Xenopus tropicalis: one gene and its partners. The protein of the gene in region 1 purifies or fractionates together with the protein of each later gene. This does not show direct contact. Links are inferred from orthologs where the notes say so. Each region holds a gene or a part of one and is shown on either strand. Other genes may lie near its edges.

Region 1 (3,651 bases):
CCAACTATTACAAACAGCAATGGCGCATGGGGCAATTACCCACTAACCTGAATAACCTGCACCAAATCTACTTGGCAGAATGGGTCCAAGTCATCCCTAAGCGGCAAGAAAAGCTGGTACTAACTTACCCCCAAAGGATGAATTATTACTGCAAAGGTACAACAGAATATTAATCTGTTGGGGTTGAATTCTTATAATATTTTTATGGTTTATATACACATTACAAAATGCAAAATCACATGCCTAAACGCCATTTACAAAGGCCAATTCACAAACAAACATCCTAGTAAATTGCACGATACACTGTTTTTGAGGCAGTGCTCAAGCATTCTCCATTGACTTTAGTAACAGTTCTCATAATAGTGGTCATAAACATGGCTCCTTTATGGTTCTCATTAACTGAAAATGCTTCATCTGCGCCAAGCAAAATGGCAGATCCTAGTCATATGTTAGGCTAACGTTGGGCTGCTCACTTCCGGGTGGCCCTGTCCTACACCATGTTCTACCTGTCCCCTTTTTCTTCTTGATAACTGTAACCTTCTCTCTTTTCCATAATATGCACACAAAAATTGATATTCTCATATACCTACAATGATTTTATCCCCCGTCCCACTCCTGCATTTGTCCTTCTTTCTGCTATGGTCTCACCTGTCACAGACAAAGGCCACACAGGCCTGGTACAGCTGGATTGCAGGCAACAGCCCTGCTGAGTCGGCACCGATCTGCCTCAGGACAGAAGGAACATCGCAAACCAATGCCAGCAACTCTTTTTGTATATCCTCACCCTGCACGGCAGAAGTAAATGGGATGATGCAGCTACAAAGTGCAACTTGTTGTTGCAGCAAGTTGAAGGGAGAGGGCAAGGGAAAGCGTGTTTGCTGTCAGCAGCACAAGTCCCAGTGCAATATTACATGGCATCCTATCAGAAAATTAATTTTCATTTGTGTACTGCAGATAATATAATGTAAGTAAAGTCTCTATAAGTTAGTGCCCCGGGGAACATTTGTCCAAGCTAGTAATAAGCCACAGGCAGTTTAGATAAGAAATCTGACTATAAGGAGGTAGACTGCAGGGAATCAGAGAGGACCATTGAGAGAAAGACATAAGGATATAACTGGGCTGGGGGCAAAAGTAAGCATTGGCAAAGGCTTCATGTTCTTACACTGATCCCATAGTTTTTGCAGCTGTTATAATATTGTTCTCGCTGTTCTGCTGCTCCGTGCAAGCATTCTTCCGCCCTGCGCTCACTCTCCAGAGCCAGTTGCTCACAGCGAGACATTTGCTTCCTCAGAGCTGGGATCTCATAGCTCACACTGCGCATCAGGAGACTGGCCGACTCCCCTGCAGGAGGGACACACACGGTGAGCTCTCAGATCACTGCCCTGTGACACACAAACCTGCTACTGCATAACATACTCACCCAGGTAAGTATTGTCAGCCTGGTACAGAGACACCACCTCCTGCCAGTCCTGCCGAGAAGAACAACAAGCAATTATACCATAATAAAAAGTAAACAATGAAGCTGTGCCAGTAAATCTTACCGATTACTACAATCATGCTACTTGCCTCTCATTTGCTTTAACATTCCGATTCCTAGCATTTTACCTTTCAAATAGGGGTCACTGACCCCAACATCCAAAATCTAATGCTCTGTGAGGCTACAAGTTAATTATTATTGTTACTTTTTATTACTTATCTTTCTATTCAGTCCCTGTCCTATACATATTCCTGTCTCTCACTTAAACCACTGCCTGGTTGCCAAGGTAAAATTCCAAACAGGAGAGCTGCTGAACAAAAAGCTTCATCACTGAAAAACCACCAAAATAAAAAATGAAGACCAATTGCAAATTAACTCAGAATATCACTGCGTACATCATACTAAAAGTTAATTTAAATGCGAACAGGCTCTTAAGATGTTGATATGGCCCCTTCAGACTGAGTCAGCGACTTATGTGTCTATGCCAAATTGCTTTCCAATAGATATCTGGCCACAAATCAGCCAGATATCTATCCATCAGGCATGAAAATCCCATTGAGCAGGGACCACATCACTGTGTTGATGATGTTCTCTCCTAACGGGCCAGCACAGGAGCCTACTTTGATCTAATCACTGGCCTGGGGAAGGGTGGTTTGTGTTAATTAATGGGTTAGTCCAAAGTAAATTTGCACATAATCAATTTAAACCGGTTAGAACATTTAGTTAGTGTGAGGCTTCATTATTCACGGTTTCAGAAGGATGAATGTACTGCTGGGAATAAGCCAATCACCTTCATTCTCTGAGACGAATATCTCCCGAACAGATTCCTGGTTGCGGCTTCGGTTCCTTTCAGGATCTCCACAATCTTCAGACAGTGGAAGTAATTAATATCTGGGCAGTAGGAATATTTGAATTAATTAATAACAATGGAAAATCATTCAGCATTTGCCACCTGTTATTATAACCACGGAGGGGAAGGAATTACTTTTTATAACTATAAGCACTTAGAGTCGTATTAAATTACATACTTTTGCTCATCAAAATTAAATGAAAAAATAATTTACTAAACAGAATATATTCTAATTATAAACCTGTAGAAAACCTATTTCTATACAGATGAATATTTAAGGTCACCAAGACACACAAGGCAAGCTTTACTAGGTTGCCCTGCTCTGTAACCCCAGTAAAGAGAAAATATACAAAATATATGATATATGTACAGGGCATTGTGAGATTTGGAGGCAGGCGACTACTGTTACATTTTATTTGAGTCAAAAAGTAGTCAGATCAGCAGGGGAACAGGGGGCGGGGTTTAGGGAACTGCTCCAAACCAGATTATTACATTAAAAATCATGAAAAGGCTGCATATTTTTTAATTTATGTATATTGCAAAGTTGCTTGAAATTGTGTTTTCTTTTCAAAAAGTTGTGTTTGAAAAAAAAAAAATGGGTGTTAATATCCATTAAATGAGGAATATACAGGCAGTTAGTTAGTTTACCAGATAAATCCAAGGACACATAAATATTCAATATCTACCTAATACCAGCTTTAGTAGGTGTTTACTATGCCCAATACAACACAACATCCTTCAGATGTAAATTCTATGCCTGCCACTTACATGTCCCAGAGAGCAGACCCCGGATCTCATCATGCTCTGGCATGTCCTGCAAGGCTTGGTTGATCTTCTCTCTAATCTGTAATACTTTGCTTTGCCATTTTAGGGTACAGTGGCGCCGGTCCACTAGCCAATCTGCAAAAATACCAGAGAAGCAGGTTAAGAAAGAAGGCAAAGAATAAGACAGCTCCTGTTAATACAGATATACTAAGGTGACCAGCTCATTCAAAAATTCAGGGACACATCTAATAAATACATGTTGCAGGGCATTACCGATATTAAATTAAACTGTAATCAGTTAAGCCCTGCTAGCTGTATTTTCTAGATGTGCCCCTGAATTTTCAAGTGATTTGGCCACCCTAGGATACACATATGGATACGTGCATACTGAGGGATATGGCACAAAGGGCATATTCATTGTTAAGGCTACTTGTATGTATGTATGTATAACTTTATTTATAAAGCGCTACTTATGTACGCAGTGCTGTACAGTAGAATACATTAATATAAACAGGGGTATTAAAATATATAAATACAAAGTATTACAATAAGCACAAAT
Region 2 (4,245 bases), on another chromosome or scaffold:
GGCAGGCTTCAGTCCAGGGAAACTGTAACATAGGGGCACATTTACTAATCCACGAATCCGAATCCAAATGGGAAAAAATCGGATTGGAAACTAACATTTTGCGACTTTTTCGTATTTTTTGTGTTTTTTTCATCGCCATCACGACTTTTTCGTAGCCATTATGACTTGCGCGAATTGTCGCGACTTTTTCGTAGCCGTTACGGCTTGCTCATATATTGTTGCGACTTTTTCGTAGCCGTTACGACTTGCTCGTATATTGACGCAACTTTTTCGTATTGAGCGCTCGTAAACGGCGGGCAAACCTTTCAGACTTTGCATGATTTTGGAAGCCTCCCATAGGACTCAATGGCACTCTGCAGCTCCAACCCGGCCCAAGGAAAGTCTCCCATAGGGCTCAATGGCACTCTGCAGCTCCAACCCGGCCCAAGGAAAGTCTCCCATAGGGCTCAATGGCACTCTGCAGCTCCAACCCGGCCCAAGGAAAGTCTCCCATAGGGCTCAATGGCACTCTGCAGCTCCAACCCGGCCCAAGGAAAGTCTCCCATAGGGCTCAATGGCACTCTGCAGCTCCAACCCGGCCCAAGGAAAGTCTCCCATAGGGCTCAATGGCACTCTGCAGCTCCAACCCGGCCCAAGGAAAGTCTCCCATAGGGCTCAATGGCACTCTGCAGCTCCAACACGGCCCAAGGAGAGTCTCCCATAGGGCTCAATGGCACTCTGCAGCTCCAACCCGGCCCAAGAAAAGTCACGATACTGAAGCTTGAATGAATCTGAAACTTTCATACTCGGCGCGACGGCTACGAAAAAGTCACAACAATTTGCGCAAGTCGTAATGGCTAAGAAAAAGTCGCGACAATTTACGAAAAAATCACAAAATACCGATCATTACGAAAAAAAAAACGCATTCGGGTGCTTTTCGGACATTCGTGGATTAGTAAATGTGCCCCCATGTGTTTTCAGTATGGTGCTTTTCATTCAGTGCTATGGAGAGGGGCATTTCAACTGTTGAAAGGCATCAGCAGCCATCAAAATGCCCCTGTACTGTAGCTCTTCAAGTTCAAGGCAAGCCAGGGAAAGCAAGTTGGCTGTGCCCCTGGCTTCTGATTTAGTAAATACCCTGCAGAGACACGCCCCCTCTGGTCTAATCTGCTGTATGATGCGCAACTGGCTCAATCACAAGGTTATTTAACATACCCTCCATCTGTGCAAAAGCTCATAATAAAGGGGAAATAAAACCCAAGTATATCTCCATGACACACCCACACACCAAGCTGTTTATCAACTGCAGAGAGATGCAATGAATGGTACCCAGAATCATACAGTCCTATCAATGAACTCTTCCAGAATTCTCTAAATGGGAAAGTCCATGTGCTTTTGGCCCCTTTGTAGCACACGGAGGGGATGGGGGGGCTGTATTTGGTCCACTGTCTCCTCCCTCTTTCTTGTGCTTCCCAGCCCTGTGACACAGACTTTGTGCGAGTGCTTCCCTTCCTTCTGTCGGAGCTGCAGCTGCTGCAGTCATGGCTGCTGATGGGATTGACGAGCGCTCCCCTCTCATTTCTCCCAGTTCCGGCAATGTCACCCCTACGGCCCCTCCGTACCTCCAGCAAAACAACCTGCAAGGTAAGCAGATGTGGGTGCTCAGAGGGTGCTAAGCCAAAACAGTGGGTCCGGCCATCAGCATGTGGCCCCCAATTCAAACTGAGTGGAGGGAGGAGGAGATAATGCCTTGCAGAGTGAATCATACAGCGCTCTATTAGACTGCAGAGGTTTGGGCTGTTGCAGTGTCTCTCTGCTTTGTTTGCCTGTGGCATAAACAGAAACTAGCGACAGTCCCCCCTGTCCCGGTTATGTAATTCCCTGCATAGTTTTGCCATTATCCTGCATGAGCGATCCGGCCGGCAGCCTAGGAAATGTGCTGTGTTTGTGTGTGCTTGGGACATGGCCTTAATGAAGCTAATTAATAATTATCTGTTCACATATCACAGCTGAATGTTGCCTGTGTGTGGCTGGGGCTGCCATGTGTGTCATTAGTCTCTATATCCGACAAGTTGTGAAACAAGATAAATAATGTATTGGTTGTTGGTAACTCACAGCACCAATGCTAATGAGTAATGTATATAGTCAGCAATATATATATATTTATTTATATATACATTGTAACTTATTGCTCACTAATATTTTGAGGGGAGTCTTTTGCCAAATAGTCTGGATTTTGTTTTAAACAAAGTTTCATTCATGCTTTTTATTCATTTATTGAAACAGTTGCTTTGTATGTATATATGTATTGTTTACTTCAGCTGACTCAAACATGTAATACCTGCAGTCCTTTAACTACTGTGCCCTACAAATCCCTAAGCCCCTACAGCTGATGGATGGTTATAGATGCTGGGAGTTGTATTTGGCCAACACCACCCCCTTTGTTTCTAAACATTACTATGAAGGGGAATTATTTACACCTTTCCAATAGAAAGACCTGTGAATTGTCAGTCCATGAGGTCCCGTAACCAAGATCATATATATAAGCCCCCCAGAGGTCCTTCCTAGGTGTTGAACAAACACTTGTCACTTATTACTAGGCACTGGGCTGGACAATTTGCACCTTCTGCTTCTATTCACTCTACTCCCCTAGTATCTTCACTCCAACAAGTGTCGGCAGGCGTGAAGTTTAACCATGCAAGTCTAGGACTCCCCAAATTGTAAGTTAAGGTGCCCTTATGCTGTGTGTATGGTAAGGCAGAAGGGTGTCAGTTTATATATGTACAGTAGAAACAGAATCCTCTTATATTAGAGTCCCTTTAATATATTTGCAATCTGTGTATTGTTTTAAGCAGCTGAGAGGAAACATTCTTCTTTTGCAAGGGCAACTTTATGGTCTGTAGGTGTCCTGTGTTGATGTGTTGTGACAGTAGCCTTCCTTTTGGAGGCCAGGATGAGCTCTTTGTCTTTTACAGTAGGAAAGAATCAGTCACACAACTTGATTCCATAATATAAAATCGATTGAAACACAATGCCCACACTCTGACAGCTCAATACCCCCTGCAAACTCCCACAGGTTTCCCAGCCCTGTTATAGAATATCACTTTAGGCATGCACTGCATCCAGGCTTTGCTTTGTAGGCTTATTCCTAGAATTCCCATTCAATGTATCCTTCATATTCAACTGTATATTGTGATCCTAAAATTATTGACACCTAAAGGTAACATATTTTTTTCTGCTCTAATGCAAATATCTCTTATGGAGGATTAAGTATTTACATCAGTCCCTAACTTAATGGATCTTAAGGTTGTTATGTGCAGACATTTACTCATGTGATCCCGTAAGCTGGCTTTTTCATGGGAAAGCATGAGTTACAGGAGCCCATTCCTTTCTATTGTGTCTGTACCAAAGGCACCATGCTGAACAGTTGAACGCAGGTGGCGTGCTATATGTTGTGTACCATGTGTTTCCGTGCGGTATGAGGCCACTGCATGGGATCGAAAGAATAAATGTCCATGTGTAAGAGCCCTAGTATTCTAATGCACCTATCCACACATGTATACACATAGGGGCAAATTTATAAAAATGCGCTCAGTACAGGAAAATACTCACTTTCTATTCATTCCTATGGGGTTTTTAGAAGCGTATTTATGATGGGCGAAAGTTAAAACTCACCGTTTGATAAATACACATCTAAAAAAACCCATAGGAATGAATAGAACATGGGTGAGTTTTTATGTATTAAGCTCAAAAATCTCATTTTGGTAAATCTACCCCATAAGGTCAGTTTGATTAGAGGGCAAGTACCCGCACGGATCGCAAACAAGGCCCTGTGCAATGAGGCAGTGATACTAAAAGTGCCAGGAAAAGAGTGGCTTCCTAGATTACAGCCCTGCACATTATTATTACTGGGTTTGGGGCACACTGGCATTTTATATGCCTTGGCTGATATTACGAAATCTGAGAACTGTTTTATGCTACTTTCTCTTAATATTCTATTAAAAGTGGAAAATAAGGCATAAGCTACTGAATCTATTTATTTGCTCAGCAATTTCTGAATCAAATGACAGGGGAGATCCAAAGAGAGCAATTTTCAGGGTAGAAGAGTAACATCACTTATAAGGAGGGTAGAAGCAGTAATGAATGTGTATTAGCTTTTCCCCTGAGGGAATGCTTGTCCATTATAAACTTCACGTGGGATAAAGAGCATATGTGTCTGACAAATGCCTGCTGTCTCTCTGTATCAGATAGAAATCTGTGCTTAAT
Region 3 (4,167 bases), on another chromosome or scaffold:
CAGCAGGAAGCTTCCTCATAGTCTTACTAACTGCGCATGTACAGGGGTCTTGGTCTTGGTGCAGGAGCGAGGCATTATGGGAAGTTTCTTGAAAAAAAAAAAAAAAAGGCCAGCATTTTTTTTCCAATGAGGCTTCTGACCATCTGAACAGGACAAATATGGGGAGACTTAAGGGCACTATTGAGAGAACTGAAGGTATGCCTGCAGCTTGAGATTAACTGTTTATTAGTCTTCCCTTCTCCTTTAAACCAACAGTCAATTTCCAGTGGAAAAAGTGCTACGATAGAGTGTATCGCTGCCAGGTATCACCCGCATATGATTATGTACTGCCAAAGGACCTCCACATTTAGATGGGCACGATTCTCCCAAAGCAGGGACATATGGACAAATTTCTCAGTGTAGAGTACAGATAGCATTATACCTTATGGGGACACTTGCACAGGCCGGGCTCTCTAAAACCAGATCTGCATGACTTTAGGTAAAAGCTAACAATTTTAAATAAATCTGCAATATAGGAAATCAATAAACAGAATGAAGAAAAGTGCTGATTACAGTATGGACGAAATTTTTTTTACAGAAGTTATCATTGCTGTATGGATTAAGCCATCTGTAATAATGATTCACAGTTCCAGCAGATACACTAAATCAAGGTAATTATACAGTAGGCCCTGAATAAACTGTCTTTGTGAAACACAGAGCAAAGTGGCATTAAAATAAGATAAAGTACATCATGTAGTTATATGGTAAAAGGAAAAGCAAAACTTACACTTTGTACGGCAGTCGGGGGTCTGACGTAAGTGTGATTTTAAATGTAACCTTTGACCTTGAAAAATTCAAACAAAAAAAGTTAGAAAATGTAACTGTATTAATTATAGTAATTATAATTGCTGTTATAAAGCTCAATGGTCCCAAATAAAGCAAAATGCCATATTTGTGGCAAGCAGTGCTTCCTTGGGATGCGCTTTCTTCAGCATCAGTCAACCATCTAATCTGATCTCATAGCAACAGGCAATTTCAAGGTTTGCAGTGATGCTCCCATACAATATGTCCCATCACTCCCACATAATGGCCTGCCTTATCTCTATACTGCTGAATTAATCAAATAGGATATTTGATGTTTATAAATAAAAATGTAATAAAAGGAAGTTATTAGCCCCAAGATGGAATGAATTTGGAACACTATAAATAAGGTCATGTGGTTAATATTAAATGTATCAGAAATTTAAAAATGTATAACCAAACTCAATGCTTTTAAATATAAACATGCAATACATTTCTTTGTAGCTGTGTTAGCCTGCTCCTTATTGAGCTTCAAGTCTTCATCTATGAGTCCACGGTCGGACTGGGCCAGCAGGAAAAACCCTGTGGGCACTGCCAACCCAGTCCCTGCCTTTTTGAGCTCCACCCCCGATTACGAGCAAATGTAAATATAACACTGCTATGCTGCCCAATGGTGGGTGGACTTACGACTGGGGTAGGGGGCTCTGAGGTGGCAGCCCCCTGACACCCCAGTCTAATACTGTGTGATTCTGCTGTTCCACAGCTAATTCTTATCTGTGCTGGTTCCAGGTGGGTATGATACAACAGCGACTACACTGGGGACTTGGGAGGCAGGGATAGGGGTCTCAGGTAACACTAATATTGTCACTGCACAAATCTGGTGCAGATCTGTTTACAGGGGCAGTTGAAACTAAAGCTGGTCATACACGGTAAGATCCGCTCACTACTCAGTGAGCAGATCTTCTCCCAATATCCCCACCTACAGGTGGCGGTATTGGTGCAAATTAGAACGGCAGGTATAGGCGCCATCAGTTTTCACAGTGAGGGCAGTGAGGTTGGGGAATGCCCTTCCTAGTGATGTTGTGATGGCAGATTCTGTTATTGCCTATAAGAGGGGCCTGGATGGGTTCTTGAACAAGCATAGTAGTCCAAGGCTATTGTGATACTAATACCTACAGTTAGTTTGTATAGGTATTACAAAATTAACTATGCAACTACACAGTGCTGACCAAGGCAGCAGTCCCTGTATTCACAGGAGCAAATCTGAAAACAAAGCCAGCTAAGGCTGCAGATGGGGTTTTGCTCCCTTTTTGGCACTCTGTAGTGTAACTAACCCCACTGCACATCACATATTGTAACTAATGGGCAAAACAGAAATCCTGGGATGAAAGTCACAACTTGCTTAAAAATACACCTCTAGATTTAAGCAGGGCCTGATTTACACACATAAGTGCTAGACTACACCACAGCAGTTACCACTTAGCAACCAATCAGATGACTGATTTCATTTTCTCATACTGAGTGAACTGTTCAAAGCAAATTGTTGAATGGTTGCTGCACTTCAGTGCCAATAATTAGTAATGACAAAAACCTCAGGCAACCAGAATAATATCATAATGATCTCTTTCATTATTCTAACTGCTAAACAGTTGCTATGGGTTAAAGAACTAGGGTAAACTTTGTATCATTATATAACCCCCTTCAGAACAGAATGAATGTCAATAAGCCCTGTTGGCTGGTGTAGCCTGCATTAAATAGGCACTGTAGGTGCCAGGGCTGCTGTACCAATGAAAGCATACAGCAGCTCTATTCAGTACAAAGTTAGAATAACATTTGAAATGACAGAGATCTGGAAAGTGTCAATGCTTCGCTGTTGATCAATTTTAACCCCCCCGCGAAATGACTCTTAATAGTAGCGTCCATGGAACTGCGGACAGCTGACTGCTGCCTGCTGCCTACACATACACTGTAATGAAATAAAGATGAATTGTTAATTAGAAAAGGAACCCAACATAATGAGTCCACAGCTACTAACATTGTATGTGCGGAAATGTTACGCTGCCGGTAGCACAGGTAGAATTGCCGGTGTCTTGGTCCCGTAGAAGCAGCCTGTCCTCGTTCTACGTCATCAACACTAGTTCAGCGAGAGGGATAGCTGTCCAACTACATGCCTGTCAGAACCCCCGGGCACAACAACATATACCAACTACAAAAATACAAGGTGTGTGTTGTTTAAATCTACAGATAACCATATTTAAAAGTATCGCTATTCAAACAGAAGGGCAACAGTAAAATGCCACGTAGTTTTTTTTAAACTGGCGCTAATGGGCTGCATATCTGAACTGGCCTTCCGAGGTACACGTGTTAATTGACAGAGGGCTTGTGCGTCATTAGGCTGGAAGCTTTCAGCGGCCATCTTTGATTAGGGCAAGCTTTGGCTAGGGTAAAGTCTTATAGTTCTGCTGCTTGCATTGTATTGGAGTTACTTCAGAAAACAATACATTTAATGAAAGGATTTGATATATACACAGTGGACTTTGGGGTATTTTACCTTTATAATGTAGATGGACCTATTTTAAGCACAATTTTGTTGGCTTTCCTTATTTATTTTAAATGGCTTTTGCATTATTACCTTTCATATTCTGCCTGTTTTCAGCCAAAAAAATAGATTTACTGACAGAGTCTCTTTCTCTGCCCAGCTGGGGGATTGTGAGTGTGCTCCTGTGATGTCACAGCACATGAGCACTGAATGAGTGTGAGTGCTCACTCAACCACATAAGCACCTAATGAACAGGAGTGGGGTTTAATGGAAACATTGTTAGATTCCTAAATTTTTGGGAGGGTTGACAGCTCTGATTATTGTGATATATAGCTCTTACTATTCCTACTTGAACCTGCCTCCATTTCTACATAATATACTCCTGCTTGTCTGTAAGGCAAAACATTTGCAATAAAAGGGTGAAGGAAGGTGGTTGTTTATACAGATCTCAGTATCACTAGTTAAAGTAAATCAACTTATTAATGGTAACATAGTAATTGTGAAAATGAAATAATGCTATTTGTTCTGCTTAATGATATAAATGATTAATAATTTGTAATTAAAAGAATATCTATTTTACTTATGCTGACAAAAGCTGTATATTGGTTTATATTGCCCTTTTAATATTCATAATAGCTATAATAATGATAATATTAGCGGATCTTAATATACATTGGTGTCATTGTTTTAAAAAGTATTTAGTCATTTTTGTGAAAGGGTAAAATTAAGCACTAATTGTTTCATCCTTAGTTTTTAACCTTGCAAAGTGCATGATAGGTTATAATTATTCAAGTCAGTTCATCACTCATATTTCATTCATTCAGGGGTATAACATTATTATATAATAA

The links.
Region 2: the proteins of cdk5rap3 (region 1) and pip4p2 purify together in Homo sapiens (affinity purification with mass spectrometry; 3 studies listed by BioGRID and IntAct, counting the BioPlex papers as one, with this or other methods). This does not show direct contact. The link is inferred for Xenopus tropicalis from reciprocal best matches to the Homo sapiens genes CDK5RAP3 and PIP4P2.
Region 3: the proteins of cdk5rap3 (region 1) and ufm1 purify together in Homo sapiens (co-immunoprecipitation; 3 studies listed by BioGRID and IntAct, with this or other methods). This does not show direct contact. The link is inferred for Xenopus tropicalis from reciprocal best matches to the Homo sapiens genes CDK5RAP3 and UFM1.

Annotation. Positions count from the first base shown.
Region 1 is NC_030686.2:11,662,748-11,666,398, reverse strand, and holds part of cdk5rap3 (CDK5 regulatory subunit-associated protein 3), read right to left. Parts: intron 3,228-3,651; coding exon 3,096-3,227; intron 2,369-3,095; coding exon 2,268-2,368; intron 1,470-2,267; coding exon 1,421-1,469; intron 1,342-1,420; coding exon 1,163-1,341; intron 786-1,162; coding exon 649-785; intron 1-648. UniProt on the Homo sapiens protein: Substrate adapter of E3 ligase complexes mediating ufmylation, the covalent attachment of the ubiquitin-like modifier UFM1 to substrate proteins, and which is involved in various processes, such as ribosome recycling and reticulophagy (also called ER-phagy).
Region 2 is NC_030682.2:126,751,591-126,755,835, reverse strand, and holds the start of pip4p2 (type 2 phosphatidylinositol 4,5-bisphosphate 4-phosphatase), read left to right. Parts: upstream 1-1,410; 5' UTR 1,411-1,520; coding exon 1,521-1,623; intron 1,624-4,245. UniProt on the Homo sapiens protein: Catalyzes the hydrolysis of phosphatidylinositol-4,5-bisphosphate (PtdIns-4,5-P2) to phosphatidylinositol-4-phosphate (PtdIns-4-P).
Region 3 is NC_030678.2:151,095,480-151,099,646, forward strand, and holds the start of ufm1 (ubiquitin-fold modifier 1), read right to left. Parts: upstream 2,867-4,167; 5' UTR 2,818-2,866; coding exon 2,816-2,817; intron 824-2,815; coding exon 767-823; intron 1-766. UniProt on the Homo sapiens protein: Ubiquitin-like modifier which can be covalently attached via an isopeptide bond to lysine residues of substrate proteins as a monomer or a lysine-linked polymer.